3 linked regions of the Drosophila melanogaster genome follow. The protein of the gene in region 1 interacts with the protein of each later gene in a biochemical or structural test. Each region holds a gene or a part of one and is shown in the gene's direction. Other genes may lie near its edges.

The links.
Region 2: of the proteins of RabGGTb (region 1) and Rab1, one has a biochemical effect on the other in vitro, tested with the Drosophila melanogaster proteins (one study listed by BioGRID).
Region 3: of the proteins of RabGGTb (region 1) and Rab11, one has a biochemical effect on the other in vitro, tested with the Drosophila melanogaster proteins (one study listed by BioGRID).

The regions. Positions count from the first base shown.
Region 1 is NT_033779.5:2,874,016-2,883,287, forward strand, and holds RabGGTb (Rab geranylgeranyltransferase subunit beta), read left to right. Parts: upstream 1-5,096; 5' UTR 5,097-5,248; coding exon 5,249-5,864; intron 5,865-6,028; coding exon 6,029-6,456; 3' UTR 6,457-6,693; downstream 6,694-9,272. Other genes in the region: CG8814 (uncharacterized protein), read left to right, coding at 1,373-2,347; Prx6a (peroxiredoxin 6a), read right to left, coding at 3,173-3,374, 3,596-3,788, 3,849-4,122; Sbat (sabbat), read left to right, coding at 4,578-4,943; NTPase, read right to left, coding at 7,213-7,305, 7,367-8,818.
Region 2 is NT_033777.3:21,262,061-21,272,444, reverse strand, and holds Rab1 (Rab1), read left to right. Parts: upstream 1-3,384; 5' UTR 3,385-3,651; coding exon 3,652-3,674; intron 3,675-4,650; exon of another isoform or gene 4,651-4,704; coding exon 4,705-4,825; exon of another isoform or gene 4,826-4,887; coding exon 4,888-4,935; exon of another isoform or gene 4,936-4,991; coding exon 4,992-5,219; exon of another isoform or gene 5,220-5,299; coding exon 5,300-5,497; 3' UTR 5,498-6,416; downstream 6,417-10,384. Other genes in the region: CG3308 (uncharacterized protein), read left to right, coding at 9-290, 352-490; Idi (Isopentenyl-diphosphate delta isomerase), read right to left, coding at 1,403-1,858, 1,915-2,229; AP-2sigma (adaptor protein complex 2, sigma subunit), read left to right, coding at 2,492-2,494, 2,551-2,700, 2,761-3,036; ETHR, read right to left, coding at 9,644-10,384.
Region 3 is NT_033777.3:21,106,712-21,118,854, forward strand, and holds Rab11 (Rab11), read left to right. Parts: upstream 1-4,696; 5' UTR 4,697-5,104; coding exon 5,105-5,144; intron 5,145-7,234; coding exon 7,235-7,356; intron 7,357-8,041; coding exon 8,042-8,390; intron 8,391-8,539; coding exon 8,540-8,673; 3' UTR 8,674-9,435; downstream 9,436-12,143. Other genes in the region: Sec15 (secretory 15), read right to left, coding at 1-1,042, 1,107-1,182; rtet (tetracycline resistance), read left to right, coding at 1,896-2,339, 2,536-2,877, 2,941-3,014, 3,308-3,483, 3,541-3,846, 3,905-3,996; ppan (peter pan), read left to right, coding at 9,593-9,922, 9,985-10,349, 10,406-10,833, 10,885-11,144; Bdbt (bride of doubletime), read right to left, coding at 11,213-12,073.

The DNA.
Region 1 (9,272 bases):
CCGAAACGTTGCCGATCAGGACGCACCTATGCAAAAACTTTGGTGCTTCCAATTTTTGGCAATTCTACACGACTGTCTTTGCCGTTTGCAATTGTTCAACTCCGATCGCGATTTTTGCGGCCGTATCTTATATATAGTCTGCTGATTCTGATGGCTCTGCTGCTTGGCGTTGATAATACAAAAATGTCGTACTCCCGTCGACGTTGCAGCAAATTTCATGTTTAATTGCAATGCGTTCACTTTTCTCCGCGCTGGCAGACACTCCCACTCCGCCCTCGGTTCGCAGTTATTGTGAAATCGAATCGAATGCGCTGTCTTTCGATCTCTGGTGCTTCGATTTTGCTATTTCCGATTCGGCCAGTGAAGGCGCTTCGCGGACTTTACGTTGGCAGCTTTCGGAAAGCTCTAAAAATAATGCAAATAATTAAGCACTTAATTCGATTGCTGATTTTTACGAAATGAAAAAGTGAGTGACCGTATGCGCGAACGTTGGAAAATACCATGAATAGCGGTATATTCAATGGAAGATGGAAGTCTGCGCTCATGCGATAGTTGACTTTCGATAAAGCCTATACCTATAATTATACTATACCTATACTATACCTATTATACCCTACTATACCTATATTTACCTATAATTAAATGTGGCTGGAAATAAATAAAACTAAATAATCTTACTTTATAAATTCATTGATTGGTCCTATGCTTTTCCGCAAAATACTAATTTATAATTTTATTTATGGACAATAAAAACTTCTTATTTTTGTTTAAATCGCGATATTCGCGCTCACAAAAATATCATCTCCACTCTGCACCTGTATCGATACTTTCGTTGCAGCCCTGCGCCACCCGCACACATGCACACCTACACACTCACACGTACGCGCTCAGCGATTTGCAGAGAGAGTTTTCGGGTTTTTGTTTAGTTTTATTTGATTGCAACTCGATTGGAACGACAGCGGTTGGCGCAGCACACAACAATTCCTCAGCGAGGTCGATAAGAACGGGGGCCAAACTAAGAAAAAGCTCCAGCCGACTCGATTCGATTCGAAGCTCAGAAGATTGGACTTCAGAACTCGAACTTTGGCACCACAGCAGCGCATCCACGAACGTCGCACCCAAAAATTCATGAATGCCCAGCAGCGGATTTGGACTCGGATTCGGAATCGGAATCAATAGCGAACGACAACAACAAAAGGGGGAGCCGAAAGTGGGGTTTGCAACACCGCGGATTGCACACAATAATTAGGTAATTTGTAAGCGACGTTCACCTGGACAAGGTGAACTTGGCACCGCCTCTATATGGCAGCCTTCGTACCTGTGTATCTTATCGATCGAGTGCCCTGGCTAATCGCGGGATAATCTTGCAGGTATGGCGGCGATTGAGGAGCGTTTCCAGGCGGCAGTCAATGTGATAAAGGGTCTGCCCAAAAATGGCCCCTACCAGCCCAGCACCAGCATGATGCTCAAGTTCTACGGGCTGTTCAAACAGGCCACCGAGGGTAGACCAGATGTGGACAAGAAGCCCGGCTTTTGGGACATCGTAGGCAAGGCCAAGTGGCAGGCATGGAACGATAACCGTCACTTGACCAAGGAGGAGGCGATGCAGCGCTATGTGGAGAGCCTGCAGGAGATCATTGAGACCATGTCGTTCACGGAGAATGTGCAGAACTTTGTGGGCAGCCTCGATAGTCTGGGAAACATCAGCCTGGACGAACTGGAGCTGGTCTCGCCCGGCATGAAGGAGCTGGCCGAGTCGCATCCCAACTCGCCGTTCCACTCGCGCACCAACAGTCCCCAGCACGGCTCCAGTTGTAATGGCGAACCGGAGCCGGAACCTCAGGCGACTAGCACCGCACCGCTGGCCACATCCGAAACGATTAAGGAGAATGGCCATAGTTCGCCGCCACTGACCAATGGCTATGGACCTAAGCCAACAGCAAGCTACACACAACATGACACGCACAACTTTACGAGCAACAGCAGCGTGGCCATCGTGGATCCCTCGGACGATGAGTACGACGATCCCTACGATCTCAGCCACGAGCTGACCCAGGCGATTGGCCAGAACACGGACCTGCTGCGTCAAATCCAGGCTGCTATCACACGGATGAACAGCGATGTGGGCGCAGTGCAGCAGCGCGTTCGCAGCCTGGAGCAGTCGCTCAACGAACTTCGCAGCGGCCAAAAGGCAGCGAAAGGAACGGTGGCGCAGCCACGATCACTGCCCGCCTGGTGGCCCTTCAGGAACATCTCCCCGCTCTGGTTTGCCGTCCTCATCCTGTGGCCTTTCCTGGTGAGGCGGTTCGCGCGGATGCTTCAGTCCAATCCGCAGCGCAGGCACTGACGCAGGAAAGCTATACTTGCGGAGGGCGGAACATGTGGTAGTTAAATTGTAAGTACAACGCAACTAGACAAAGGCATATGTTACCATTCCCACTTTATATTTGAGACGTATTCCCGCAGTCAAGAGAATTTAAGAGCATAGGGAACCTGTTTCGTAGCGAAAGCTTTTACATCATACATTATTTTGTACATATTTGCATTTCATTAACATATTCAAGGTAACGATCTCTATGCGAACTCAGATTGTGGAATATATCTTGTGAGTATTTGGGCAAGGGAAAGTGCTCAAGCATCCACTGTTTAAACTAATTATCAGTAACATGTGTTTCCAATTATTAGTTTAAATGAATGGTCACTATTACAAATAACTTTATACTGTTTGTGCCACCAAAATTAATCCAATGTAAACATTTTCCTTTCAGTTATCTTCGGTTACGGGCACGAGCTTGGTCTTTAGCTTTCTTCTATCCTAGAAAGCGCTTCAGTTATTGTACAGAGTTGGCCTTATTTATACCTTACTTACCCCCATGGTTATCCAGTTGCAATATCTCTACCCCCTTTTGTACACGTCTATATATGTATATTGAATGTATATTTATTTCGTACACACAAATCGCGACCTTTTTGTCACATTCCCCATCTGATTTAGTTCGTAAGTCGAATGTTTTGGCAATTTTGTCCAGCAGAAGGCGAGTTTTAGCCACCTGAAAGCGCCGATCTACTGAAAATACGGTTGTAAGCGTATACTTTATTGTGCATTATTTGTTGTTAATTATAATTTTTGTAATAAAGCAAAAAAAAAGTGAGAGCGCACGCTTGTCATCCATTAGGGCTGTGGAGTGATCCGCAGGTAACTCTTTCCGGAGGGCAGCTCAATGGTTTCGATACCATCAGGAAAGAGCTTAGGAACATCTTCGGCTTTGACGGTGGGCAAGACCATGCACTTGCCGCCCTGTTTCCAATCCGCCGGCGTCGCGACACTCTTTGTTTGGGTCAACTGGAGCGAGTCGATCACTCGAAGGATTTCACTGCAAAGGATATAGTTAAATGTAATTTGTCGGATTAATTGACCTTGAAATCGTTCCTATTTAACTTCCATTATTATATGCAAGGTTAGTACTTAGTTTTCAGCAATAATACTTCATTAAATAATTATCTGCTAATGCGATTAAGTGCACGATTGTTTGCTAAAGTGCATTACAGCATTACTTTATAGATAATGATGAATGCTAGATATTGGAATACCCACTCAAAGTTGCGCCCAGTGGTGGCAGGATACAGGATGGACAGGCGAAGCTTCTTCTTGTCGTCCACCACGAAAACGGCGCGACAGGTGAGGGGAATGCCCTCGGCATTGATCTCGTCCTTGTCCAGCATATTAAACTTGAGCGCCAGTTCCCTTTTGTCGTCCGCAATGATGGGATAGTCAAAGGAGCTCAGCTCTGCGAACAGAAACGCCAATTAGAAGCGATTCCTGTCCAGAAATCAGTGACCAAACCCACTGCCAAAGCTCTTGATGTCCTCGATCCAACCCTTGTGCGACTCCACGGTGTCGCAGGACAGTGCAATTGGCTTGACTCCACGCTTTTGGAATTCCGGAATCAATGCCGCCACCCGGGACAATTCCGTGGTGCAAACCGGCGTAAAATCCGCCGGATGGGAGAACAGAATGGCCCAGCTGTCCTGCATCCAGTCGTAGAAATCGATTCGACCCTCGCTGGTCTCAGCCGTGAAGTTTGGGAACTGATCGCCAATGTTTAAAGCCTTTCCGGACATGGTGGATATTTGAAAAAATCAAGAGACGAATTACGAGCTTTTTGGATAAATGCGAAACAAAATTTGCCGCAAAATGCAAATCAGCTGACTGGGCTAGGGTGCCCGTTACCTTTATAAGCTCAGCTCGACCAGGGATGCAAATATAAAAAGAACTAGTTTTCGTATGAAGATGTTAAAAAGAAGGCTCATTGTGTGCATTCATTTTGCAATCATTTCCTTTAAGTGTTTTAAATCTAAAGTATTTTCTTTGACACAAGCAAACGAGTGTTTCGTATATTTTCGAATTTATGAGCTCAAAAAGTGAACCAGTGAACCGAACCACTTACACGTGCTTGCATCCCTGGCCATTACTCATACACACGCACACTATATCACACATACGCGCAGTGTAAACACAAAAAAAGCTGAGAATTTCTTGCATTTATTTGTTTAAATTGAGCAAAGAGGATATAACCATGACAGAACTGAGCATCACTGGCCAGCAGGTGATGCCCCCGCCCGCATGCACACCACCGGAGCCCTTCCGCATCACAACGAACGCCCCGCACCAGATGAACGATGCCAGTTTGACGCCGGGACGCAGGAAGCTCCAGAAGTGGCTGGGTCGAGTTCTTCGGATCGTGATTACGGACGGACGCGTGCTGGTGGGATTCTTCAACTGCACGGACCGCGACGCCAACATCGTGCTGTCCATGTGCGCCGAGTACTTGGTGGAGGGCCAGGAGCCGCGCCTGCTGGGCAACGTCATGGTTCCCGGCCAGCACATAGTCTCCCTAAGCATCGACGAGCCGGATCCGCAGTCCAGCCTGCTGGTGCAATAGTGTGCATGTGTTTTGAATAAAATAAACTAGCTATTTGAAATTTAAGTACGTTTAATTTTTATTTTTGGATGGGGTTATAGTAAACCCCTCCACACTACGCCCCTGCGTCGATCAGCTGTTTGATAAGCCACTGCCGCGTTGCCAACCATCGCGCAGATGAATCAGCTGTGCTCGATTGGATTCACTGAGTTATTTGTTTGCTCGCAGCACTATTCCTGCCAATTAATAGAGTTAATCAAGCGAAACAGCGCGCCGAAGAGGATCTGCCAGCCACCCGATACTCATTCAATTGAGCCCAATCAGCGATGGACTTCACGACCTTCGTAAAGCCCTCAAATGGCGGTGGCGACAGCGGCGGTGGTGGTGATGCGGATGGCGGCGGCCAGAAGCTGCAGTTCTGGAAGCATGTGGAGTACATCGAGAACCATGGGAAGCAGGAGGACGACTACGAGTACTGCATGACCGAGTTTCTGCGCATGTCGGGCATCTATTGGGGCACCACTGCCCTGGACATTATGGGCCAGCTGGAGCGATTGGAGCGCAAGTCCATCATCGAGTTTGTGAAGCGTTGTCAGTGTCCGAACACGGGCGGATTCGCACCCTGCGAGGGCCACGATCCCCACCTGCTGTACACCCTGTCGGCCATCCAGATCCTCTGCACCTACGACGCCCTCGAGGAGATCGACCGCGAGGCGGTGGTCCGATTCGTGGTCGGACTGCAGCAGCCCGACGGCAGCTTCTTTGGCGACAAGTGGGGCGAGGTGGACACCAGGTTCAGCTTCTGTGCGGTGGCCTCCCTAACGCTGCTCGGCCGCATGGAGCAGACCATCGACGTGGAGAAGGCGGTCAAGTTCGTGCTCTCGTGCTGCAATCAGACGGACGGTGGATTCGGTTCCAAGCCGGGCGCCGAGTCGCATGCGGGTGAGTCACCACATCGCCTGTCATGCTTTCGCCCTCACAGTCAATATCATTTCAATTTAAACTTATTAATCTTCTGGGAACAAAAAGTATACTAGAAAAATAGCTAGCCATAAAGCTGGTGCTCATATATGTTATCCAAAAACTAATCTACATATAACCCGCAGGGCTCATCTACTGCTGCGTCGGCTTCTTCTCGCTGACCCATCGCCTGCATCTGCTCGACGTGGACAAACTGGGCTGGTGGCTCTGCGAGCGGCAGCTGCCCTCCGGTGGGCTAAATGGACGGCCCGAGAAGCTGCCGGATGTATGCTATTCGTGGTGGGTGCTCGCCTCGCTCACCATCATGGGCCGCCTGCACTGGATCAGCTCGGAGAAGCTGCAGCAGTTCATACTGTCGTGCCAGGACACGGAGACCGGTGGCTTCTCGGACAGAACTGGCAACATGCCGGACATATTCCACACGCTGTTCGGCATCGGCGGACTCTCGCTACTGGGACATTCCGGCCTGAAGGCCATCAACCCAACGCTCTGCATGCCGCAGTACATCATCGACCGGCTGGGCATCAAGCCGCAACTATTGCCGAGGCCATGAGGGGATTCATCGATTCCACATGCAGCCAGTGCGTAGCCAATGTGTAGTGCAGCAGACCTCTGACGTATTCCCACGCTAGCGTTTCTTAGTTTTATTTGTAAAAAGACCAAAATTCCATAGCAGGAACACCCTTTCTTTACTCATTTTCTTCGTTATGCATTTACCCCTCTATTATTATTAAATATAGAATATTTTGTATAGCGAACGAAAATCAGCAATAAACAAATATTTTACTTTAATTCAGATCAGTTAACATTTGATTTATTTGCAAAGATAACTAAACTAACATTTGCATGTGTGAAAAACCGTGTGAAATGTTTGCGGCTAGTAGTCTAGGTCGTTATACATATTAGGTAAATACATATCATTGTGTAAATTTATGTACATGAGGATACGATACGAGTGTAGGGACTAATTAGTTAAGAAGTTGGCAAAAAACTGCATTACAAATATGGCGAATCACACAAAATTGGAATTACAAACTAAACGCTAAGTGTAGTCACCGTGTATGGGTTAGCTCAATTAGAGGCAATTGAAACGAATCTTGCAGAGCACAAACAAATATTAATCGACCACATCATACATATGCTGTGGACAATGTCCGAGTGTGTGTTCTGTGTGTGTGTGGTGTGTGCGGTGTGTGCGGTGTGTTGTGATTGTAGTATACTCGATGCACGTCTAAGGCACTCTATAAACAATTTCAGCTAACAATCCGTTTAAAATTTATGTCTTCAACTACGGACTAATGGAGGAGCATTAGGAATTACTGAATTTCTCGTCGCTAGTCAGAACGTTGTATGCACAGCCGAGGGCCCAGGAGATTTCGTGGCCATCTATCTTCTTGTAAAGCTGCACAATTTAAAACGAGTTACTAGAGAGTTCAATTTGTGTTAAGTGCGCCAGGACTCACCTTAATCTTCTTGCCATCGTTGAGGCCAAATCCTTCGCGCAGCAGCGTCGAGATGAAGGTAAGGTCGAAGCACATGAAGGGCTGCTCATCGTTGGGAATGGCACAGATCTCCTGGGCCTTCTTGCGATAAGCTTCCACCGTGGTCTCGCCGCCAGCCAGTGGATCCACCAGACCCGACTCGATGGCCCGCTCAAAGTAGTAGCTGAACGCGGCCACCGCGTGCTGCTTGAGTGTGAACGGCTTGGGCTTGACCAGCGGCATTACCTTGCTCTTGACCAGCTCCAGGCAGGCATCGAAGTCCACAATGGGCTGCTCGGCACTGGACTTGCCATTCTCCTTGCCGCTGACCTTGTACTGCACATTGCCGTATGTCCACGTGCGATTGGCGATTATGGGATTCACGCAGACGCTCTCCAGCACCGTATCCTCCTTCTTGTAGCCGTGCGTGAAGACAGCATGGCGTGCAGCCATTAGACCCAGTCCCAGATAGCTGTGCGTGAAGACGTTGATCTTCTTGCTGGACGTGACCACCTCGTGCATGTACTTATCGTACACGGGCACCTGGTCCGGATCCGTTGGCGAGAAGGTTACCTGCGTGCTACCGCCGCCCAAGTCCAAGGCAGCTGCCTGGTTCGTCTTGGACAGGCGGCCCAGCAGGAAGTTCACGGTAAACCAGCTGAAGATGCCCTCGTCCGTGCCGTCCATGATCTCCACGGCATCCATATCCACACTAAACTCGGACTTGGCGAAGAGATCTCGGACGGCATTTAGAATGTTTTCCGCCTTGCTGGCGGGCAGGAGTCTCAGGCCGGCGGTCGCTTTCAGAACCAGCGGTGTGGAAGACCAGTGCTCCTTGGGTATGAAGGCGCGGGCCTCGTCCAGCAGCAGTTTGATGGAGTGGGCACCCTCGGCGGGATTATCCGCGAAGGAGCTCAGACCCGGCTTGCGCTCCTTGAACAGCTCCTCGTACAGCACCAGTTTGTTGTCGATGAAGCTGCGATTGAACTTGTAGGCCAGCACACGGCTGCCCGTCGATCCGGCATCGATGATGGCCGCATACTGCACCTTGCTGTAGCCAAACTTGGAGGCCAAACGGGCCAGATACGGACTGGCGTTCTCGGAGACGAAGCCTGCATCGTTGTCAGTCGTTGGTTTATTGGCGATGGGTTTTTTAGTGATAACACGGCGAACGGGTGGCGCAAAATGGGGTTCCACGTGGGCGTAGGGCACGGTAACAGTGGGAAAATCAGAGGTTTTCGTTAGTACAACTTTGGGCACTTCGTCTTTTACATAATACAAATGGTACACACCAAAGACAAAGAGCAGGAGGATGACGGAGATGATCAGGCACAGGAAGGAGATCTTGAGGCCGCTGGGCCCGCGGTTTCCACCACTGCTGGCATTTGGTGATCCGCTACTTTTCCGCCGCGGTGGCTTCTCATCCGTGGCCAGCTGAAAAGGCGAAAGACAAATTAGTTTTGTGACCGACTACTCAGTTATTTGATGGTGTTTTTCTTGGCCAAGTTCATCGGGTCTACCAGCTTATATTCGTATTTCATGGTTCGTTCCGTTGCCTCTGCTGGCTCCACATTTATGCATGGCCGGTTTCTTGGTCGGAACACATTTCAGTTGTTTGCTGCTCAAATATTAACACGCTGGCTGTTTGCTATCTCTGCGAATGTCAATGAATTTCATTTCTTCTCTTGTTTTCGGTCTATTTTACGGGCTTTATCGTTAACATGTGCCAGGGCTGCAGAGTCCGTGGCTCATCGATAACGTTAACCAGGGTTGGGCCACACTTTTGGCAACGGTAATTTAGGGCAGTTGGTAAACAGAAAACCGTTACTTCAAACAAAATAACCTTTTAAAGCGCATTACTTGGATATTTCCACGATTAGTATATATT
Region 2 (10,384 bases), on another chromosome or scaffold:
CCGCGCAGATTCGAGAATCTTCCGCCTGTGATCATCAGAGGTTTTATGGGCACCGCCGAGGAGGCGCTTAAGTACCTAGACCGGAGGTTCTACATCAGCCTGACGGGCTACCTGTGCAAGGACAAATCGGATACTGGCGTTCGCCGCCTGCTGGAGGACGGCACATTGCCGCTAGACAGACTACTGGTGGAGACGGATGCTCCTTTCATGTACCCAAACACAAGGGCTTCCAAGCTACCGCAACACGTGAAGACTGGTATCACCGAACGCTCATTGTTGTACTTACACAGGTGGGCGAAGTAAAAAGTACCAAAATAGGTCACTCTTCTATTAGTTCAAAATACCTTCCAGATATTGTACCTTCCAACGCAACGAGCCGTGCAGTTTGCCCGCCATTGTAGAGATGATAGCCGCCTTCATGAAGAAAAGCCCGGACGAGGTGGCTTTGGCCACTGCCTTTAATGCCCTGAAACTGTTTGGCTTGTCCTAGAAAATGGTAAAGGAGCCACATGGAACTGAACGACAAAGTGTGCCACCCAGCAGCTTTAAACCCGTAACTCTATAGATTCAACGAGCCTGAGATTCACGATAGACTCATACCTATGTGCCTTAACCACTAATCGAATTCAGGATGAAGCGCTTATCCTGATCCCCACACATACACACATCCACAAATACGACCCCCATTGCATGCGAAAAGTACGTATACGTATATAACTATATATTCACCCCCTGCCGTAAAGGTGCAAACCATCGATCGAAGTTTGCAGGGTCTAGCTTTAAGTTGTTGGAATTTCCGAGCAATTGCTTTATTTACTCGAGTACCCAGAGAAACGGTGCCAAGGTGGTGCCTCGTGAACGTCGACTCCGGATTCGCCCGGGGTCTGCACTTCACGCCTCGAAGCGCGCGCTTCGAACTCGCTCCCGAAGCGATATATGTTAATGTTAAGTGCTGCAGCTTGTCTTTTGTTTGTTTCTTCTGTATTTAGGCTAGAATCAATACTTTTAGTTTGTGTCTCTGTTAGCCTGTAGTCGTACTTTTGTACATATTTATTCTTGTTGCGACGATGACGATGATGATGATGATTATGGGAAACGTAATGTGATCATTTTAAAAGCTAATTAGTTATTTGATATTCAACATACAAACACATTAGTTAGGCTATGAAACATATTGAATATCGTGCGCCTATACAAACTATATATGTATTGTTATATTTACATATACAAAAGCGTTGTACTGAACTGATCGACCCGCGGAGGTTGCATAAAATCCGCTTTGTGCCCATTGTCCGCACACAGACACACACTATTTTCCATTTGAATAAAGCGAATTTGAAACCCAAACGAACAAAAGCCCCTTTTAGACGTCATTACGTGTATTTTTGGTTGGTTAGCACACTTAAAAGCGCTGAATATTACTCAAGTCCTCAAATTGCTCCAGCTGGTGCAAATTGTCCCACCAGAGTTTCAATCGATGCTGCAGAATCAGAGAGAACCAGGGTGTCAGCGGGGCACTAAACTTCGCCACCGCCTCGTCGATCTTATCGCGGCGCAAGTAGCGCACCTCACTGACCTCGTTGCTATTTGGACGCAGCGTCACGTCTTTTTGCAGGAACAGGATGTAGTCTATCTCGTGCTCGCCCCACACGCCGTCGCCCGTGTCTGCGTAGTGGATGCGGGTCAGGTAGCGAAAGTCCTGTGGCTGCAGTTCCTCTGTGGGAATGCCCAGTTCGTAGTTGAGACGTCGTTGAGCGGCCACACGGATGCCCTGTGCGTTGCGCTCCTGACGTTCCTGTTCGATTTCGTAAAGCGGATGGCTGCAGCACGCGTTGGTGTAGGTGTTTGGGAAGGTTATCTAAGGATACAGAGGATTATGGACCTTGTAATAAGGGGATTACCCTTTAATTTCACCTTGTGAGACGATCGCTTCTGCACTAGCATCTCTCCCTGAGAATTGAAGAGAAAAACACTGAAGGCGCGATGGAGCTTAACATCATTCGTCTCTGGATGCACACGGTGGCAGTCTGCCTTAGAGGCGGCCCCAATGGCTTGGTCGTTGGCGTCAACCAGGATGCACTGTTCCTTTAGAGCGTGAGCCTGCAGAGGATCGTGTACGGCGAACTCCGTGGGCACCTGGCGCTGATGTTTCTGGCCCACCGCTGTCGTTGAGCAACCGCGCAGCCAGGATACGCGGGGCAACAGGAGATTCAAGCGAGAGGCCAACATTTTTGGTAAATGACTAGTTTGGAGTGGTGGCCAAAACAAATATGAAAGTGAAACTTCGTAATACAGCGCGCGGGTCTGCCAACTCGTTTGCTTTCTGCGCGAACTGTTTGCAACACTGACGAGGTAACAGCTGTTCCGGAACAGTAGTGGTAGCCCTGGTCCCAGTGATACACAATTTGCTCATAATCAGTTTTTCGCCCCCATTCTCGAAACAAAAAAAGTTGTAAATAAGCAGGAAACGGTTTAACCAATTTCCCGAAAAATGGTAAGCAACTAGCCAGCTATAAGCTTAGACCCCTATTTGACCTTCCATTCGCCCAGATACGATTCATACTTATACAAAACCGAGCTGGAAAAACTCGCCTGGCCAAGTGGTATATGAACTTCGATGACGACGAGAAGCAGAAACTGATTGAGGAGGTGCATGCCGTGGTCACAGTGCGCGATGCCAAGCACACCAACTTTGTGGAGGTGGGATCGAGTCCATATGTTCTTTTGAATCACCCTTTTATCACACTTTTGCCTTTGTAGTTCCGCAACTTCAAGATCGTCTACCGACGCTATGCGGGTCTGTACTTCTGCATCTGCGTGGACGTAAACGACAACAACCTGTGCTATCTGGAGGCCATTCACAACTTCGTGGAGGTGCTCAACGAATACTTCCATAATGTGTGCGAGCTGGATCTGGTCTTCAACTTCTACAAGGTGTACAGTGTGGTGGACGAGATGTTCCTGGCGGGCGAGATCCGGGAGACCTCGCAGACGAAGGTGCTCAAGCAGCTGCTCACGCTAAATTCGCTGGAGTAGCGGCCCAATTCATACATATGTATATCGGATCTGCCAGATGCATTCCCCCAGGCGCTACACCCGCCTATCGAATCTTCTTTCATATACTATTACGCGTATTATTATTATTATCTTTAATGTGTTCTCTATGCAAACACTCAAATGTTAAAGGCCGTGTTTAGAAACAAATGATGTACCATAAGAGATTGTATGCAAAAGTTAAGTATTTTTGTTTTTATATGGGGTGTGTTAGGGGTCATTTGGCGATAATCCATATATTTTCTTCTCTGGTTCCGCCCACTCACCTCCGTAGACAAGATAATGTGTAGCCCTGGTTGGAAGAGGGCCCCGCGCATTTTCCAACACTGCCGCTAATGCCACTTCGTCATTTTTTCAGTCGCCATTGTTCTCGTTCTCGGCCGTCGAATTTGTGGAAATAAACGTATTTCCCATTTAAATTCGCTGCAATAATTACAATAGCGAACTGCAAAACACAACACAAGCCGAGTGCGTGTCGATTTCCAGTATTTCGGAACGCGCAAATCAAATAAAAACACTCTGAACAGCAGCCAGTCCAGGGCCAGAAATCGAATATTTGTTCGTGGCAAATATATAATCTTGTGAAAAAGCCAGAAAATGTCATCTGTGAATCCGGAATAGTAAGTCGTCACACGTAATTATGCGCAGTTATCTGGAGTTAAAACAGTGACTGGGCTTCCACTTCCTTTTCTGGCCTTCGAAAATAGTTTCTTTTATTTTTTCTGCGACGTCATTTCTGCTACGTTTCATTCCCATTCATTATCGAGCAGCCCCACTCCACTCCCTTTTGCCCTCGTTGGCAACTCCAAAAAAACAGACCATTTGCTAAAAACAAAATACACACTCGGACCTAACAACCGACCCAATCGAGAAACCATAACCAAAACTGTGTGTTTCAGCTGGATTTCAATGTAGTGCCCACGGGCGAGGCGATGAAAAGCGCGTTCGAAACTCTCATCGGAATCTGCATATGTATAAAGTCCACACATATATACAGCGAGATCCCAGTTGACGGGCCAAATCGCTAGTCGGGCGGATGAGTCACCTGCGTGGAGAGCCTTTCCCACCCCCAGCGCAGTGCTACGTAATCAAAGGCCATTCCAGTGCTACTTAATTGCCGCTCTCACTCAAGGCAATTAAATCTGAACCGATCTTGGTTCGCACTCTCCAGAAAGCCTCCTTCAATAGCCAGCATACATGTGTGCAGAGGATTGGAACACTATCGCATATCATTCAGCAATTGGGGGTTGATGTTGGACATAGCATGATAAGATAAAGCCTAAACCAAACCGGTTTTATGTATATATTAGTATCTGCCCGACTAAACTATGCCCGCAAAACACCTCTCTAAATGTTTTGCTTGAATCAATGATTTCTAACTGATTGTCATCCAACTTATTTCCCTTTAAATGTATACTAAACCTTTTACACTCTGATTTTAAACATTTCGTCTTGTAATATCACTATCGCAAATATGCATCATCAGTTTTATTTAGATTTCTCTGAAGTTTTATATGTTTCAGCATAGGGTCTGAACTATTCCCACATCGCAGCACAAATTTATATCATTAACTATTAAATTAACTATAATTTATTAACTATATAACTATTTTATAACATTAACTATATTAACTATCTCCAAATCCACAGCGATTATCTCTTTAAGTTGCTGCTTATTGGAGACTCGGGCGTTGGAAAGTCCTGTCTTCTGTTGCGATTTGCCGATGACACATATACAGAAAGTTATATCAGCACAATCGGAGTGGATTTCGTAAGCCAACCGGAAATTTGTGAAAATTCTTTATGTCTGACTCATAAACCTTTATCTTGCAGAAAATCAGGACTATAGAACTCGACGGAAAGACCATTAAACTGCAAATCGTAAGCATAAAAACGCCAGAGGCAATCTAGTCCAGAGCTAATTAGTCTGTTTACAGTGGGATACTGCTGGCCAGGAGCGCTTCCGCACCATCACGTCTTCATATTATAGGGGCGCCCATGGCATCATTGTCGTATACGATTGCACGGACCAGGAGTCTTTCAACAATGTGAAGCAGTGGCTGGAGGAGATCGAGCGGTATGCCTGTGAGAATGTCAACAAGTTGCTGGTTGGCAACAAGAGCGACTTGACCACCAAGAAAGTAGTCGACCACACCACAGCTGCGGTGCGTATATTGCTGGTTTAGTCCTGGGAATCATAGATGCACGTATATACTAATCTGGGTCTTTGTTTCCAAAATTCCAGGAGTACGCCGCCCAGTTAGGCATTCCATTCCTTGAAACTTCGGCCAAGAGCGCCACCAACGTTGAGCAGGCCTTCATGACGATGGCGGCGGAGATCAAGAATCGCGTCGGGCCGCCGTCCAGCGCCACTGACAACGCTAGCAAAGTGAAAATCGATCAAGGACGTCCAGTGGAAAACACCAAATCCGGTTGCTGCTGAATAACTCTGATTGTGAATCATTATTTTATTATACAATTAAACAAAATTTAAATATAATAAATTAAAACGGAAACCACACAATAATAATAAAACAAGCGAAACCGATGGCGGATCCACGAAATCGTAATTATAATAACTAATTCTGTAATAACAATAATGGTGAGGAATGACGAGTAGTGCGTTTGTATGATCCTAACCGTGATCCAATTCGATAAACAATTTAAGCAAATATGTATTAGGTACGTAGCCAACCAGCTCCAGATCCAGATCCCGATCCAGACTTCAGACATCCCCAACTAAACTCGAGCAACAAGGACATCGATCCTAATACTAACCGTCACTCTGATTTCCGCAGTTCTGTTCATAAGTAGTGCAAAGCAAGCAAATTCGGTGTAGCAATTAACCTAATATTACTTTAACCTACAATAAGAAGTTACCTATCACAGCAGCGCGAAACCATACCGAAACTAATATGTACTATTAACTACACATTAATTGAGCGCAGGCGACGGCAGGAGCAATTGTACTTGTCCTGTGTCAGCTACTACTTACCACTATGTATACATATGTATGTGTTTAAATTACAAATACAATTTTCTAAACATATTATCTCTAGCGAACGTGATCGTCACTTGAAATTTTATGTAAATCGAACCCAAAACCGAACGAACATTTTTAGATTTAACGTCGAGCGATTGTGTGTTTGAATTATCGTGTGACACAAGGGATTTGTTTAGGCACATAATTAGTGTAATAATGACGACATAGCGATGAAGTTTAATAAAAATTATTGCGTGTGCGTATTTAAATTGCAAGGTTTGGGATCAAGGACACACTTTAGTTTCGGTTTTTACTGTCGCCCGAATTTGAATCTTAATTTGACCTGAGTCTAATAAAATCGATCTGTACCGATGCCTACAAACGACTTGTTTTATTTCTTGACTTTGGAAAGATTGCAAAACTTAAGTGAAGGCCGGAACTGATCCGCACGCACCCAAATACTTGGCAGAAACTTTAAGGGCGAGGCGATTTGTGTAGAATCTTCCTGTTTTTGGAGCAAGTTTTTGGCTGATTTAAAACTTGGATCATGCCAATGTATTTAGAATATATTCAAAGCACTCTATACGAGTGCTTAGATGTTGAAGAATCAGATGTATAAATATATTTCTATTTAAAAATGTTTTATATCTGCATTATTTCACAAATCAGATTAGTTAGTGCACTGCCGTTAAGTTAACTGCACATAGGTAATCAATTTTTGTAAACCTGATACGTTGGCAAATCTTCTAGGATACTTACGAAAAATGTATGTATCCACTTATTTTATAAATTATATACATATATTCGGAAAGATATTTTTCTTTTTAGGACATACTCTACCTTTATGTATTGCATTGTATACATACAGGACTTATTATTTTTTAAAAAGAATAATATGAAAAGGAATTTTAAATTAAATATTTCGTATCCGAGATATTCCTTCTAACATAAAATATCTCCATCTGACAACGATTGTAGCTTCCATTTGATTTGGGCAAGCTTACATTCCCTCCGACAGATTTGTAAAATTATTGAAGTACTTTGACTCTTTAGAGATTAAAATTAATCGTACATACAAAGATAATAATAGTTGCGTTATTTTTGCATATCCCAATTGGTCTCCTCCTATCTCCCATTAAATCACAATAGGTGCGATAAAAATGATCGTATGAAAAGTTCATACTCGTTTCTGTTCTAAAAATCAAGTTAAAGCTATTTCGAATCTTGCAAACTTCAATTTTTCGAAGCCCGAAGAAAATTAGTTTCGATTTTCAAAAACATCTTCTCTTGCGTTTATTGACTTCTTCTGAGGTACTTCAGTCTTTACAACAAAATTTTTCTAAAACTATGACTATTTGCTGTTGGAATTCAACTAAATACTTTAACGGTTGCTGGCAGTGGACAGGGACTCGAAGGATGCATATTTAGGATGGGATTCAGATCTTGCTGGCGCGTCGCTCCTGCAGACAGGCGGTTGTAACGGTGGCAGCCGTTGTGCCGATGATAGCGGCTCCCAGTATGCCGCGCTCCCGTTCGCTCAGACCGGAAATGGACAGACTGTTGCTGCGCCACGCCGATGATGATGTGGTGCGATCCGTACCCGAGGAGGTGGATATGGAGTTGATCAAGAAGGTGGCCTCGCGGCGGAGTGTGCGACGTGGATGTCGGGCGCTGGTCGTTCCCGCCAGCGCAGCTCCTTCCTCGGCATCCTGTTCCTGTCGCGTGGACGCATTGCGCCCACTTCCGCCTGCCGTTGGATGCTGCCTCTGATGGTAGTGGTGGCGATGGTGGTGATGTGGCCGTTGGCCCAGACAAGTGAGCAGCAGCCGCCAGAAGCCGCTGCGAAATTTGGAGGACATCAGGTTGTAGAGGATCGGGTTCATGGCTGAGTTTAGGTAGAGCATGAAGCGCGAGAAGTACAGCAGGTTGTAGTAGCCGGCAATGCCCAGACCCTCGACATCCTCGGCGCTGGCCAGGATCACCCAGAGGGTGAAGGCCCGGAAGGGTAGAAGGCAAACAAAAAAGCTAGACACCACGGCCACCAGCATGAAGATTACCTGCTTGCGATGCTTCCTCATCCCGTTGCTTTGTTGATGGCTGTTACCCTTGGTGCTGGGCACCTGTGAGGAGCCACTGGTGGCTCCGCCGGACGGCTGCTGTGGCTGCGGGGAGGTTGGTCGGTGGAAGGCGTTGTTGGGACGGAGCAGCTTGTAAGCGATGGCCGCGTATAGAAGAACCAGGATGCCGAAGGGCAGGAAGAAAAACACCGTGATGCAGCCCACGAAGTAGAAGATCGACCAGAAACCATCGGCGGCGGTGGTGCAAACGGGAGCATCGGTTCCGTCCCCGTAGGGTTCCACGCTGTAGGTGGATATGGCGATGATGGGACTGCAAGAATCATATTATCAGTTTTAGCGGGGACTAGAGTGACTAGCGCTGTCTGCAAAGTTTTATCGCGCTGCGGGCAGGAAACAAACAAATATTTAAAAGCTACTCAACGGCTAACTACTGGAAAAGTTTCGGGGGCGAAGCACTCAACTTAATCACACAGCGGAAACGGAAACGGCAGCGTCTGCTCATACTCATCATACTCGCAGGATGGTGTGGGTTCAAGCTACTTATTACTTTTTACTCTACAAAAGTGGGAGTCTACGTCATAGGGCTACGAAAACAAATTAAAAAGCTACGCGCATGGTACGAATACGTATATTTACAGAGGACGAACATTTGTCCGATTTCCTTAGAATTATATAAATTACAGATTCCGATTGGATGGGGTAATGTGGAAAAGTCCCGCCATGAGTTGTCATAAAAAATTTATTTACTTACAAACTCTCGTGTGTGTGTGAGTGTGTGCGTGTGGTTCCTTGTACATATTTATAAGCAGACTATATATATGTAAATATGTGTATATAAATATGTTCGTACAAATATAAATATTAATATTTGGCTATGTGTGCGTGTGGGGGTATGTATGTGTATGTACAGCTGTGTTTACATGTGGACATTGTGTGCATATTGAGCTAAGCTTTTTATTTGAGCTGCCGGCAAGTAGGCAACAGTTTTTTCGACTTCCGGTGATGGCCGCCCGTGTAATGGCGGCCATTTTGTACGGTCCGGCGTACGGAAACTATTTCAATACACCTAAATCATGTTTATCCGCCGACCTGATGGTTCGCCCAAACGCATATTAAGCCATTTCCATTTGCCAGCTCCGCTCCTCGAAGGCCACCTAATGGCTTACCCCTTACTGCCAGTCGATATCTGGACTCCTAACCCTGACCAGTAGTGGTAGTTTTAGTGCTGTTCGGCTGTCGTTGCTGTTATTTATCTTTGGCACATTCATTCGAGTTTAATAGCCCGAAAAATTGATTGTTTTTGGTACGGAAATGTCCAAGGCGGCAGCCCAACTACGATTCGGGATTCTCGGCAGCTGTCAGCGGGTGACTGAAATCGATTATGGCTGCCAAAAGCGTTCAGGAAGCGATTTGTGTTTACCAGGAGCGGGAATAGGAATCGGGATCGGGATCAGCGTCATCGGCACATTCCAGCCAAGTGAAGCGAGTGTGTAAACGGGTTAAAGGCGATTTTTCACGCCCATCTCGCTTAGAGGGTATTTTCGGTCAGATTTACTATTTCTCTTGCTATTCCAGGAAGCTTTTCTCGACATTTTGTTGGGATTTTCGCTTCACTACGCTTATTCTCCTCCAGTGACTCCTCGTCGAAACTTATTTGCGGCTTGTGGCGTCGTGGTTGATGATTTCTCAGAGGCATGAGACGGCTATCACTCACTCGCCTGGCAATTCCCTTGCCCAAGGTGGAATGCTGCAGCATGGCCATGGCCTCCAGGTCGCTGCCACATGGCATCTGCATCTCGATCTTAAGGCGGGTGCGACTGATATCCTCGCTGCACCTGCGATTGGAGCTTCTCGAGAGAATGCTGGAGCTCGTGGCTCCTGTGGCATTTGAGGAGTTGGTATTCGTGTTCGTATTGGTGCCCATGCCCAGTGACAAGGTACCTCTGCGCCCGCGAGAAGAGTCTTCCTTCCTTCTTCCCAATGTCACCAATTCCAGCAGTAATCGCCCTGCGTCCTGACAAAGCCGCTTGAAACCCCTTCGAAACTTGGTCGACATCAGGTTGTAAAGAATCGGATTCATGGCCGAGTTGAGGTACAACATGATCCTACAGAAGTACAGCAAGCTGTAGTAGCGCACCAATCCCAGATCGTGCAGTGTTTGGTCCGTGCTGAGGATGATCCACAGGGTGAGGACGCGGAAGGGCAGCAGGCAGACGAAGAAGGACAGCACAACGGCGCCGAGCATTAGGACCACCTGCTTGCGGGCCTT
Region 3 (12,143 bases), on another chromosome or scaffold:
TTGATGGACAGCATAATGAGGTTCTTAATGCGCAGAAGGATATTAGGATCGGTGCAGGACGAAGAACTCATGCTGATTTCGTTGACAAACTTGGTTAACGAGCTGGACCACAGATCCTCCAAATAACTGCTGGTCACGACATCGCCCGCCGTGTTTTTAACGTGATCCTCAACCACGAAGAAGCCAACGATGGCACAGATGTACGTTTTGTAGGCCTCCAAATTGTCGTGCATGTTGGGCGGCGGTTGAAGCACCAGTTTGGCCTGATCCCTGCGCTGCTGACGATAGTCCTTCTCGAAGTACTCCCGCTGACCCAGCACCATGTAGATGTGTAGGCAGCGGTAGATGGGGGAGAAGTCAATGAGATCCTGGGCACTAACGTTGGCACCATCATCATCCCCGCCAGCACCTGCTCCGCCGGCTTCGCCGCCATTCATCTGCTGCATGTGCTCGGCAATGATGGCGTTGATATCACGCTTTTGGAGCTGTTTTGTGTGTGTGATGGCCAGCTCGCCGATGCGGGGTGAAAACTTCCGGATGTTCTCGAGGAACTCTCGAAAGTCCGAGGCGGAAGAGCGACGGATGTTTTCCTTGATTATGGGAATCTGTATCTGCATCTGGGTGGCGAATCGGTAGTTGTGTGTCTTCAAGCGCGTTAGGTGCTCCGTCTCCAGAGTCTCCAGAGTTCTCAGCGCCTGGTAGTACTGCTTGTTCTTTGCCTGCTGTGTGAACTTCATGTAGCACTCCAATGCGGGCAGACAGGATTTGAGTGCCTCGATGGCGCTGGCCAGATTGGATTCGATCTGACGGGCCCGCACTAGATCATTGCCCTGCTGAATCAGCGAGGCGCTGATCTGGCGAAGGGACGTGTCCAAGGAATGCACTTCGTTGTGCAGCTGTTGGGCCTGCGTGCGCACCTGGAGCAGCTCCTGAATTGAATCGATGAAGCCCTGGTAGTACAGATTGCAGATCCGCTCGATCTCTTTGTCATGGCTCCGTATCCGCTGCTCCAGTTGGTCGCCAATCTGCTTAGTGTTGTTGCCTGTCCGGGAAAAAAGGAAAATGGGCGTAAACAAAGTGTGCCAATTGCTTCTATTCGCAGTCACCTTCAAGGATCGAACGGAATGTTGGTCCCCAGTAGTCGTCCACCGCCTCAATGTCTTGCACGGTCACTTTGGACATCTTATAACGCTCTTTTTTCTCTTCTAAACAACTTTTTACCAAACTTTAATGAGCAATTATTTCGCCGACTTATCGGTATGGTATATCGAATATTTACTAAGTGTTATCGAGGTTTGACTTTCGATACTAGGCGATAACAATTTTAAGCGGTATGTTTTAAATTATAATACAAAGTTGTGTCAGAGAATATCTGACTGCATTATCTTTTAAAAAGATATTATCACTAGGATTGTAATAAAATAAATAAATCAAATAGGCGAAAACTACCGAATCATAAACTTAATTTATATATGTATATCAAAATCCGGTTCTTAACTATTTAAGCAGGAAACAATGATTTGTAAAATATTTATAAATTAATTAAATATTTACAACTTAAACCTATGCTATTAGTAATGTTCACCAACATAATATTCGTTGGTAATTTTGATAAGAAAAGTAATTAATTACAGATGTTTGAATAACTCATTTTGGCGCCCTTATTTCAAATATCCGCAGCAAGCAACAGGTTGGAATGCCGTCTGCTCGTTATAGGCCGCCTTGGAACAGCTGTTGCTGTTCAGCTTTCACTTTGGCTTCGCTTTGGCTGGCCGCTTCTCGAGAGGGCCAAGAGTTGTCGGTGGAGTTGTGGTTCCGTTGATACAGTTATGTTGCAGTAACACCCGTACACGCACGCAATCACGGCACAAGCTAAACACCCGAAATCAGCAAAGATGGCCGACCTACGGAGTCGCCACAATGGAACCGCTGCCATGGAGAAGCAAAGCCACAGCCAAACCGGAAGCCACCATCACAACAACAATAAAGCGCTGGATAAGGAAGCATCGGAGAATGGAAAGCCGGAGAAGAGTGATCCCATGATATACATAATCTTCGTATCGCTGCTCTTCGACTTACTGGCCTTCACCATCATTCTGCCGCTGCTGCCCTCGCTGTTGGAGCACTATCGCCAGAACGACAGCTCCGGCTTGTATGCCGTGCTCACGGATCGGGTGCGCTGGTTCCAGCAGCTCCTGGGCGCCCCGGATCGCTACATATCGGTGCTATTCGGAGGCTTTCTCGGCTCCATGTTCAGCTTCCTGCAGTTCGTGGCCAGTCCGATTGTCGGAGGACTCTCGGACTACTACGGACGGAAACCAGTCCTGCTGGCTTGTGCGGTAGGTAATCCCAGTGCTCAATGCTTTAATGTGCACTAAACACTAAACTAGTCTTGTTAGTTTTCTTTTTGGCTTGGTCAACATTTCATGCTATTACGAGTTCAATCCAAAAGCGTGGAATTCGTCAAATTCAAACTCCTTAGCTAAGCCACAAATAAGTAAACCTTCCTTAAGCTACGTCTTCTTTCATCTATAGAGTGGTATTGCGTTATCCTATCTGATCTGGGCCTGCTCCAGCAACTTTGCCCTGTTCGTTTTGGCCCGCTTCGTGGGCGGAATTAGCAAGGGCAACATATCCCTGTGCATGTCCGTCATTACGGATGTGTCCAGCGTTAAGACCCGTGGACGCGGTATGGCCCTTGTGGGTGTGGCCTTCTCGCTGGGCTTTATTGTGGGGCCCATGATTGGAGCCCTGTTCGCCATATTCTCCGATAAAAGTGGAAGTACTTGGTTTGTGTTGCCCTCTCTGCTGGCGTTTGGCCTGGCAGTTGGAGATCTTGTGGTCCTGGCCTGCTGTCTGCGGGAAACGTTGCCCAAGGTGCGTACGGTTGGCTAAATTAAATATATTCCCAACACCATTAATTGTTTGACCTTTTCGCAGGAGAAACGTGTTAAGGAGATATCATCTGCACTGTCTTATGGCCTGCAGTTGCTCAATTTTTCGGCCATATTTAGGTAATTCAATGTTTTAATTAGCATGTCTCGAAAACCTGTCGTGTGATCAAATCGAAATCGTCATACGGTGAGAACTGCAAGCCACCCGGACTTGCCTGACTGGTTTGATAGACACTATTATCATGCCGGGTTCTCGGACACGTTTGTTTGATTGCCTTATCAGTTAGTAAATTCTAGATTGCTTTTGATTAATTGTAGTTACAGGGAATTGAGTCCAGTTAGCTAGAAGATTATTACCAATGATTATGTCTGGATTTTACAATCATATTTCAAAAGAATTCTCCCACTGACAGATTTGCTGCCATCAAAAATGTGCCTAAGAAAGACATTGCGGCACTGCGATCCATTGGCCTGGTATACTTCTTGTATCTCTTTCTGTATTCCGGCTTGGAGTTCACCGTCACATTTCTGATGTACCACAAATTCGGTTACACTTCGATGGATCAGGCGAAGATGTTTTTGACAACGGGTATGGAGCAAGTTGATAATCTACAATATTCCCTATCAAATTTGTGTCTTTTTCTAGGTGTAATCATGACTTTGCTGCAGGGATCGGTGGTCCGACGGCTGCCCGAGGCGAAGATCAAAGGCTATGCCATCTTCAGTTTGTACCTGATTGTACCCGCCTTCGTAGTAGTCGGCCTAGCCGAGGGCAGTCGGATGCTGTACGCCGGCATGACCCTGTTCGCAATCTCCACAGCCTTCGCTGTCACCTGTCTGACCACCCTCGTATCCAAATACGGAAACGATGACCAGAAGGGTTCAGTACTGGGCATATTCCGCTCACTGGGAGCTTTGGCTCGAGCTCTGGGCCCCGTGGTGGGATGCATTGGTGAGCTCCTCAGCTGTCTTAGGATTATACCTTTTCTAAACTCTTTAATCCTTAATAGCCTTCTGGTGCGTTGGCTCCAGGATCACCTATATAGCCGGCGGACTTCTGCTCATTTATCCAGCCATGGCCTTGCAACGCGCTCGCATTTAAGTGCAATAGGAATAGAGTTTTTAAACTCACTAGAGATCAACGGAAGTATTAGCTGCACATTATACTTAATTTATCGTTTTTTACAAGTATTTTATATTAAAATAAACACATTTTTACTCTGATTTGTAAGCAGGGGGTTTTTACTTGGGATCGAAATGTTTTCTATTTAATTAATTTTTTTAATAAGATAATATTAGAAACAGTTACTGCTACTGGGAGAACGATTCTGTTTAGGTTGGAACGTTTTAAGTATTCAAGACATTTTGAGTTGGAAATAAGTTAAATGGGCTAGGGATAATCCCTAGAAAATGTGTTCAGCTTTTTTAAAATACGATAGGCTTGTCGGGATGAAACGAGAGCAGTTCATGATAATTCGTCGTACCGTCTGGTAACTCTAAAACATCCATCTCGTTAATTTAGTGATGCAAGTCGATGTGAAAACATCGATAATGATATAAGTATGTTGGTGTTTTAAAATAAAACAAATAAGTTTTTTAAATAGGAAACAAACATTAGATTTATTTTCTAGACCTAATGTGTTTTAATTATGAAAAAATTTAATTCTAATTCTAAAGCTTTTGAGTATAAAACAATGTTCATATAAACAAAAATAGAAGTGACATTGTACTATCGCCTTACATCGCCATTAAGAAAATCGATAAGTATCGCCGAAATAATGTCGATGTACCGATATTTTTCAACATCTCTAGTCTCGTTGGAAATATAACGTGACGTTATTGGGAGTGACTAAGTTTTCGTGTAAGAGAAAATTGCAAATAAATGCGCTGCAAGCAGCTGCAAATCTCCAATTAATACTGCTCCAATTGCCGGAAAAGTCCTGCCAGCATTTTCGAACGCATCCGAGCTGGAAGAGCAACCGATTTCGCCACTTAAATACTGATATATACACTTTTCTCTTTCTTTACAACTACAACTGCAAATAAAAGTGTAAAGTGTGTGAGCCGACGACAAACGCATTAAAGAAATCGGCGGCGCGCAGGGATTATTGGATTTCGTTTAGCACCCGCACACACAAAACAAAAAGGACGGAACTGGATTTCCAAAGGATATCGAACCGAGCGAGCGATAGCAAAACAAATTGAGCAAAATGGGTGCAAGAGAAGACGAGTACGATTATCTGTTCAAAGGTAATTATAAACATGATACTAGCCGCTGGTCGAAGATCGCGGAAGGTTGATCAGGAGGGGAGGAGCCGCACTTCCAGGCTCTCCTCTCCCTGCCGTGAGAGACAGTGGTTCAATAGCACTAATTGAAACTAATTGGAGAATAACAAAAAGTGCACTCGAAGAGCCCAAAGTTCATGTGATGGTATGTGGTGTGTTTGTTTGCGTGAGTGTCATTAATTCCCAAAATAAGAAGTACGCCCCCCGAGTTTGTTGTTGTTGCTACTGCTGCAGTTGGATGCCCTTTGGTGGCTCTCCCGCTCTCACTCTGCCTATCTCCATCTCTTTGGGGTACTCTTTCGGACTGGAGTACGCGTACTTTGCCGTTAACTGCTTGTTTTGTCATTACAGTGCCGTTGGTCTCGCCACGTTGCATACAAAAGCCAAGCAGATCGTATTTATAATCGCTCGCTCTGTAAAGTAGGTTTAAGGCTTGCCCACCCACTCGAAATGCTAAAGTGATTAGATATCCAGTAAATAGAGCGAGAGTGTGGGTATTATGATTTCTGTACAGCTGGCTTTTGCAATGGTTTCTTGTAACTTCGTTTAGTAGCTCTCTCTCACGCGCGCTCTCTTTTTCACCCGCTCTCGATTGAAAGTTTGAAGCACAGTAGAGCAAAATGATGTATTTGCAGGTAGAAAACAAGACTTTTATCCCGCATCTTCCCCCGTTTATGTGTAGATATGTATGAACAGAGGTCACAAATTCTCAGCTCTTCTTTGTTCCCTTCGTTTGCTACTACGCCATAAATTCCAATTGCGCTTGGAAATCTCTGCTAGCTATCACAGCTGAGCAACTGTTGAATGTCATTAAAAAAATATTTAAAACTTAATCTGCCGTATTTTTTGGGTCAAGTATACAAAAAGTTAAAAAAAAAGTCATCATAATAATGCGTCAGTGTGCGGTATGCATGATGAGGCCTCAAATTTCACACATGAAACAATATTAAACGGACATGACTCACAGCCAATAACTGCTGAAGAATTCCACTCACCGATAAGCGCATAATCACATAACTGAAAATGGGCCGTTTCGGGTTATTCGAGCCAATCCCACTACTAAGTAATGACCGTCGATTACCACTCCTCCCCTTTTAATTTCTCATCGCATCCGCTTAACTAAGTGCAATTTCTCTTTAAAGATCGTTATTAGCGCTGAGAAAGAGAGTAGAAAACAAAGTGACTCAGCTCTCTCGCTGATAACTGTAACCACGCTGCTCCCAGCTGTCCACACTGAAAGAAAACCCTATACCCTCTAATTTAGCTATCTAAATTAAGTCAAAAACTTGGACTTAGCTCAAAAGTCGTTTCAAATATTTAGTTCCTATCTTAATGGCATTGCAATCGAAACTTCGAACTCAAGAATCAGTGTTCATATGATACCATTTTACTATTTGAATTTTCTCCGTGCAGCGATGACCATAGCGATAGAGCGAAAAGGTGTTTGATGAGTTATAGTTGTTGTTTTCTGAATGGATTAGCAAACATGCTGAATCAACAATGTCCGAAAAGGGTGTCAAAAATGGAAACTAATAGACAGACAGTCAGTAAACACAGTGTCTAGATATCAGTTAATATATATTATAGCCAACAACTCTGGCCGCACATAAGAAAGTTTATCAAAAAGAAATGGAGTCGTAAAAAGGTCAGTGGATAGTTTTTATCGGGTAGCATATCAACTTGGGATGCTTGTTTGCTCCCTCAAATATCCGCCACTCAATTATCCAAGAAATGTTTGCTATCGGCAATGAAGCACAATAACACGAACTCCCTAACGTCGACTGGCCCAATCATAAAACATTTCTTTCCATGGCCTGAAATCCCCCGAGCATGGCGGTTTTATGTACTCGCTGACCTTGGTGCGCCGTGCCAGCGGCGAAAGGAGGACATGACCTAGCCGGGCCACCAGCGACCATTCTGTCCGGCCGTAAAACACAAGACAGGGGCCATGCCACGCCACGCCACACCACACACCCACATAAATTATGCAACTGGGGGTCTTCGATTATCCAATGCCAATGTCGATGTCACTAATTCCCTCTAATCCTTTGCAGTTGTCCTTATCGGTGACTCCGGTGTTGGCAAAAGTAATTTGCTCTCACGTTTCACGCGCAATGAATTCAACTTGGAGTCCAAGTCGACGATTGGCGTTGAGTTTGCAACGCGCAGCATAGAGGTGAGTACGCTGGCCAAGAATTCGAGGGTGGAGTGGCCCATGGAGCTCCACCCCCACACATCTACCGCACCGCACCCACAGTGGGGGAAGTCACGGGTGAACTTGCGTGTGCGTTTCGGTGGGAGGACACGTAGTTGAGGCGTCTATCGGAAAATTGGGGGGAAAAGTTTGTTCAATTTGAGTAAGTGTCGAGAATTTCACTAAATAATGGATTGCCAATTGGCTTTCTTGCATAATTTCAAAAGCCATCCTACGGGATTAGCCAAAATGTTGACATCATAGTTGTCACTTGTGCTGAAATAATAAATTTATGTGGTCAATAACAATTATATATTACGTATGTATAAGGATTTGTGTTAAACAATACTTTGTGCCATCTTTTCGAAGTAGCTTAGTAGGTCATCTTAATATTTAGTATATCAAATGGGTTCAATGAATATAACTTACGCTACTTGCGTTTTTTCTAACTAGTGTAAGAAATTTCAAAAATTGGGTTCTCTTACTAGAGTTAAAAGCTTATCCATAAGCTCTAATTTATGTTGGTTATGTGTGAATACTGAATGCCAGTGCTTGTATATTAATTTTCAAAGCGAATGCGCCGCAGGCATTTCGTGGCGAAATTGCCAATTACTGGCACCATTCTAATGCTGTCCTTTGTTTCATCCTTCTTGTGCATCCAACGCAGGTCGATGGCAAAACAATTAAAGCGCAAATCTGGGATACGGCCGGCCAGGAGCGTTATCGCGCCATCACCTCTGCCTACTACCGCGGTGCCGTGGGGGCCCTGCTCGTCTATGACATTGCCAAGCATCTGACCTACGAGAACGTGGAGCGGTGGCTGCGGGAATTGCGCGACCATGCCGACCAGAACATCGTCATCATGCTGGTGGGCAACAAGTCCGACTTGCGGCACTTGCGCTCCGTGCCCACGGACGAGGCGAAGCTGTTTGCCGAGCGCAACGGCTTGAGTTTCATAGAAACCTCGGCCCTCGACTCAACGAACGTTGAAACGGCATTCCAGAACATACTCACAGGTGGGTCGTTCAGGATATTTTAGCTAGTCTGCTTTCAAATTATCGATCGTTTAAGAATATTTAAATACTGTAGATTAAACGCTTCATTGAAAGTCAATAGATTAATGATAACGAAGCACGACTAATGATGTCTCGTAATCCCGTTTCAGAGATCTATCGCATTGTGTCGCAGAAACAGATCAGAGATCCGCCGGAAGGCGACGTCATCCGCCCGTCGAACGTGGAGCCCATCGACGTAAAGCCGACTGTCACCGCCGATGTGCGCAAACAGTGCTGTCAGTGACCGCCCCAAGCAATTTTCGCTATTCCCCGCAACCGCCAGAACAGCAACATAAACAGAAGCAACAGCAATTACAACTACGACTACAAGAGGAGCAGCAGCGGCCAGAACTGCAACACCAAGATCAGGAGCAGCGTACACCCGATGGACCGCACAAGATGTCTATGCGTTTGTCAGCCACAGTTTGTCATGTGCGCATAAATTGATAATTCAAATCTGAGCCGCCACTCTCCACCACCAACACCACCACCATCATCAGAAGCAGCAGCAGCAGCAAAAGAATCGAAAGCAACAACATCCGGCTGTAGTTAACTGCGGTTTAAACTGAAGTTTTATATATATACAGATCCATGAGTATCGCATAAATCGACCGCCGCGGAAAGAAAGCAAGCAAAACTAAACACTCCAAATTCAGTTTAAGCTGTAGAACTATAATTTATATAAATATACATATATGCTAATATTAAAATATTAATATTATTAATTTTTCGCAACATAAATATATAGTTGTAATTTCGCGAGCAGAACAACAACAAACAACCGGAAATTCTTCGACTTAAACGCAAATTCATTACCACAGCACTGCAGCTCGGATTTTCTTCTTCGGTTTCTCGCAACATTTTAAACGATTGGCCACTTGGTAAAACTAGCTGATAAAGAGAAATCAAACAAAAACAGTTGTAAAACTTTAAATGCATAAATGAAACGAAATAACATCATTTGTGTTTGCTATGTTAAGTGTGATTAAATAAATATAATTTAAATAAAACAGAAGTGCTTTCAATTGGGCGGAAAATCGAAATTTAAAATGGGATTAGAGTGACCAAAGGCAGACGTCGGAGTGGGTGTTTGGTATTTTCCGCGCGAGCAGCCACACTGATCCATACACGTGCGGGAGAAAAGTGAACAAAAACATTGAAACATGGGCGGTAAGAAGAAAGTGCATCCGAAGACGCGCACGGCGGCCTTCAAGGCCAGCGAGCCGAGCGAGATCGTGGAGGCGCCGCACTCCTTCGTCATCCATCGCGGCCTCGCCTGTCCGTACATCACGGACCTCACCCTGGACTTCCGCCGCATTATGGAGCCCTTTACGGCCAGCAATCTGCGCGAGAAGCGGATGAACCGCATCAAGGACTTTGTCAGCCTGAGCAGCTTCTTCCACGTCTCGCACATGGGCATCTTCAACAAGGCCTCCACGCAGCTGTCCTTCAAAGTGGTCCGCTTGCCGCGCGGTCCTTCCCTGACTTTCAAGGTTTGTTTGTTTCATCGCTTAGTTTATACTGGATATTTTACCGCGAAGTTATTCTCTGTCAGGTTCACCAGTTCACCCTGGCCAGAGATGTGATCTCGCTAAGCAAAAAGCAGATGATTGACAACGATCACTTCAAGCACGCTCCGCTCGTCATCATGAACAACTTCAGTGGCGATGGCAAGCACCTTAAGCTGATGGCCACCACGTTCCAAAACATGTTCCCCTCAATTAACTTGGCCACGGTTAATATCGGCACCATTCGTCGCTGCGTCCTGTTCTCCTACAATCCGGACACGAAGCTGGTCGAGATGCGGCACTACTCCGTGCAGGTGGTGCCGGTTGGCTTAAAGCGGGCGGTCCAGAAAATCGTCAAAGGAACGGTACCCAATCTGGGCAAGTGCAACGAAGTCGTGGACTTTGTGACCAAGTAGGAAATGACCGTTTGTTCTCATTCCATCAAATAATCATAATATTGATTTTCAGGGACGGCTATGCCTCCGAATCAGAGGCCGAAGATGATGAGCAATCACATGTGGTGCTGGCACAGACTCTTAAAAGCAAGGGCAACTTGGAGGACAAAAAGAGCTCCATAAAGCTACACGAGATCGGACCTCGACTAACCATGCAGCTCATCAAAATAGAAGAGGGCCTTCTGACGGGCGAAGTACTGTATCACGACCATGTGGTCAAGACAGAGGACGAAAAGGAAACCCTGCGCAAGCTGGTCGAAAAGAAGCGAAAGCAGAAGGAGCAGCGCAAGAAGGAGCAGGCAGAGAACCGTGCCCGCAACTTGAAGCTTAAGAAGGATGAAAAATGGGCTGCCAAGAGGGCGGCAGAGGGACGGACTGACAGCGATCCCGAGGATGATGCAGAGTACTACAAGGAGGAAGTCGGCGAGGAACCAGACGAAGGTGAGTTGTGCTACATGCTGCGTAGAATATAAACTAATGTTTCCTTTGCAGAACTGTTCAAAATGGAAGCGAAGTCCTCCCGAAAGCGGCCTAGTTTGGGCGGCGGAATGAAATACAAGAACAAGCGCGCTAAACTGGATACCAAGGACAAGAATGACAAATCTGAGCGCACGGACAAGTACGATCGTAAGGACAAGTTCGATCGCAAGGACAAGAAGGACAAATTCGACCCCAAGAACAGGAGAGCCAAGTTCGATCCCAAAAACAAGCGCGCCAAGTTTGACCACAGAAAGAGTAGAAAATCAAAGTAGTACATTTAACATAAGCTATTTTATAAAGACCATTGGTTAACACGACATCGCAATGTTATCAATGGGAACTAACTAAACATACGTTGCACCACCTCCTTGTAATGGGCCTTGCTATCCTTCCAGCTAACAGCGATGTTGTCGCGCAGCTTGCTGAACTCTCGCTTCTCCTCGTAGTTGGGCATTCGCTCGATGGTGGCTTGCGCCTTGGCGAACTCCTTCAGGTGATAGTAGGCGAGTGCACGCCGGTAGATGCTCTTCTCGCTGGGACTCTCCTCCGTCTCCACAAACTGCGTGTGGTAGATTACATGCTCATAGCGTTTCTCCTGCAGCAAACAGGCGGCCAGGTTGGTCTGTATCTGAATAAAGAGCTCCTCCACCGCCTGGCCGTTGATGCCATTGGTCTTTTTGGTCAGTTTATCGAAGGGTTTGTAGGTGATCAGCAACTTTGCGGCACGCACAAAGTAATCAAAGGCGAATTTCGGGAACGTCTTAAAGGTGGCCACGCCGCTTTCCTTGAGACGTAGTGCCACCTCATAGATCTCTGCAGCGCTTAGCTTCTCCACCTGAGTGTTCTTCACAATTTTCTCCAGCTTCAGTTCAAATTCTATTCGTTCGCCGGTTTTGGTCGTGATGCTACAGGCTGCCGTTTCACCCGGCACAAATTGCTGCAGCAGCAGCTCCAAGTAGCAGTCCACTGCGGTCAGGCTGGTGCCCATTTCCAGGCTGTGCTTTTGAGGATACGTAGCGGACTCATCGCTGACCAAATATTTGCTAGGTCGTCCTCCCAAGTTGGTGGCTTTCTTGTTGACACTGAATTCCACCGTACTGATTATCGTGGGCTTGTCCATTTCGGTGAATTGGAGGCCAATTACCTTCTTGGCCAGACCACGGTTCTTGTCCTCCCACTCTGTGCCCACGTACCAGTCCATTTTGGAATATTTGCAAATTGGGAGCTTCGAAATTTAGCAGTAAGCAAAGTTTGCGATTTGGCGATGTGAC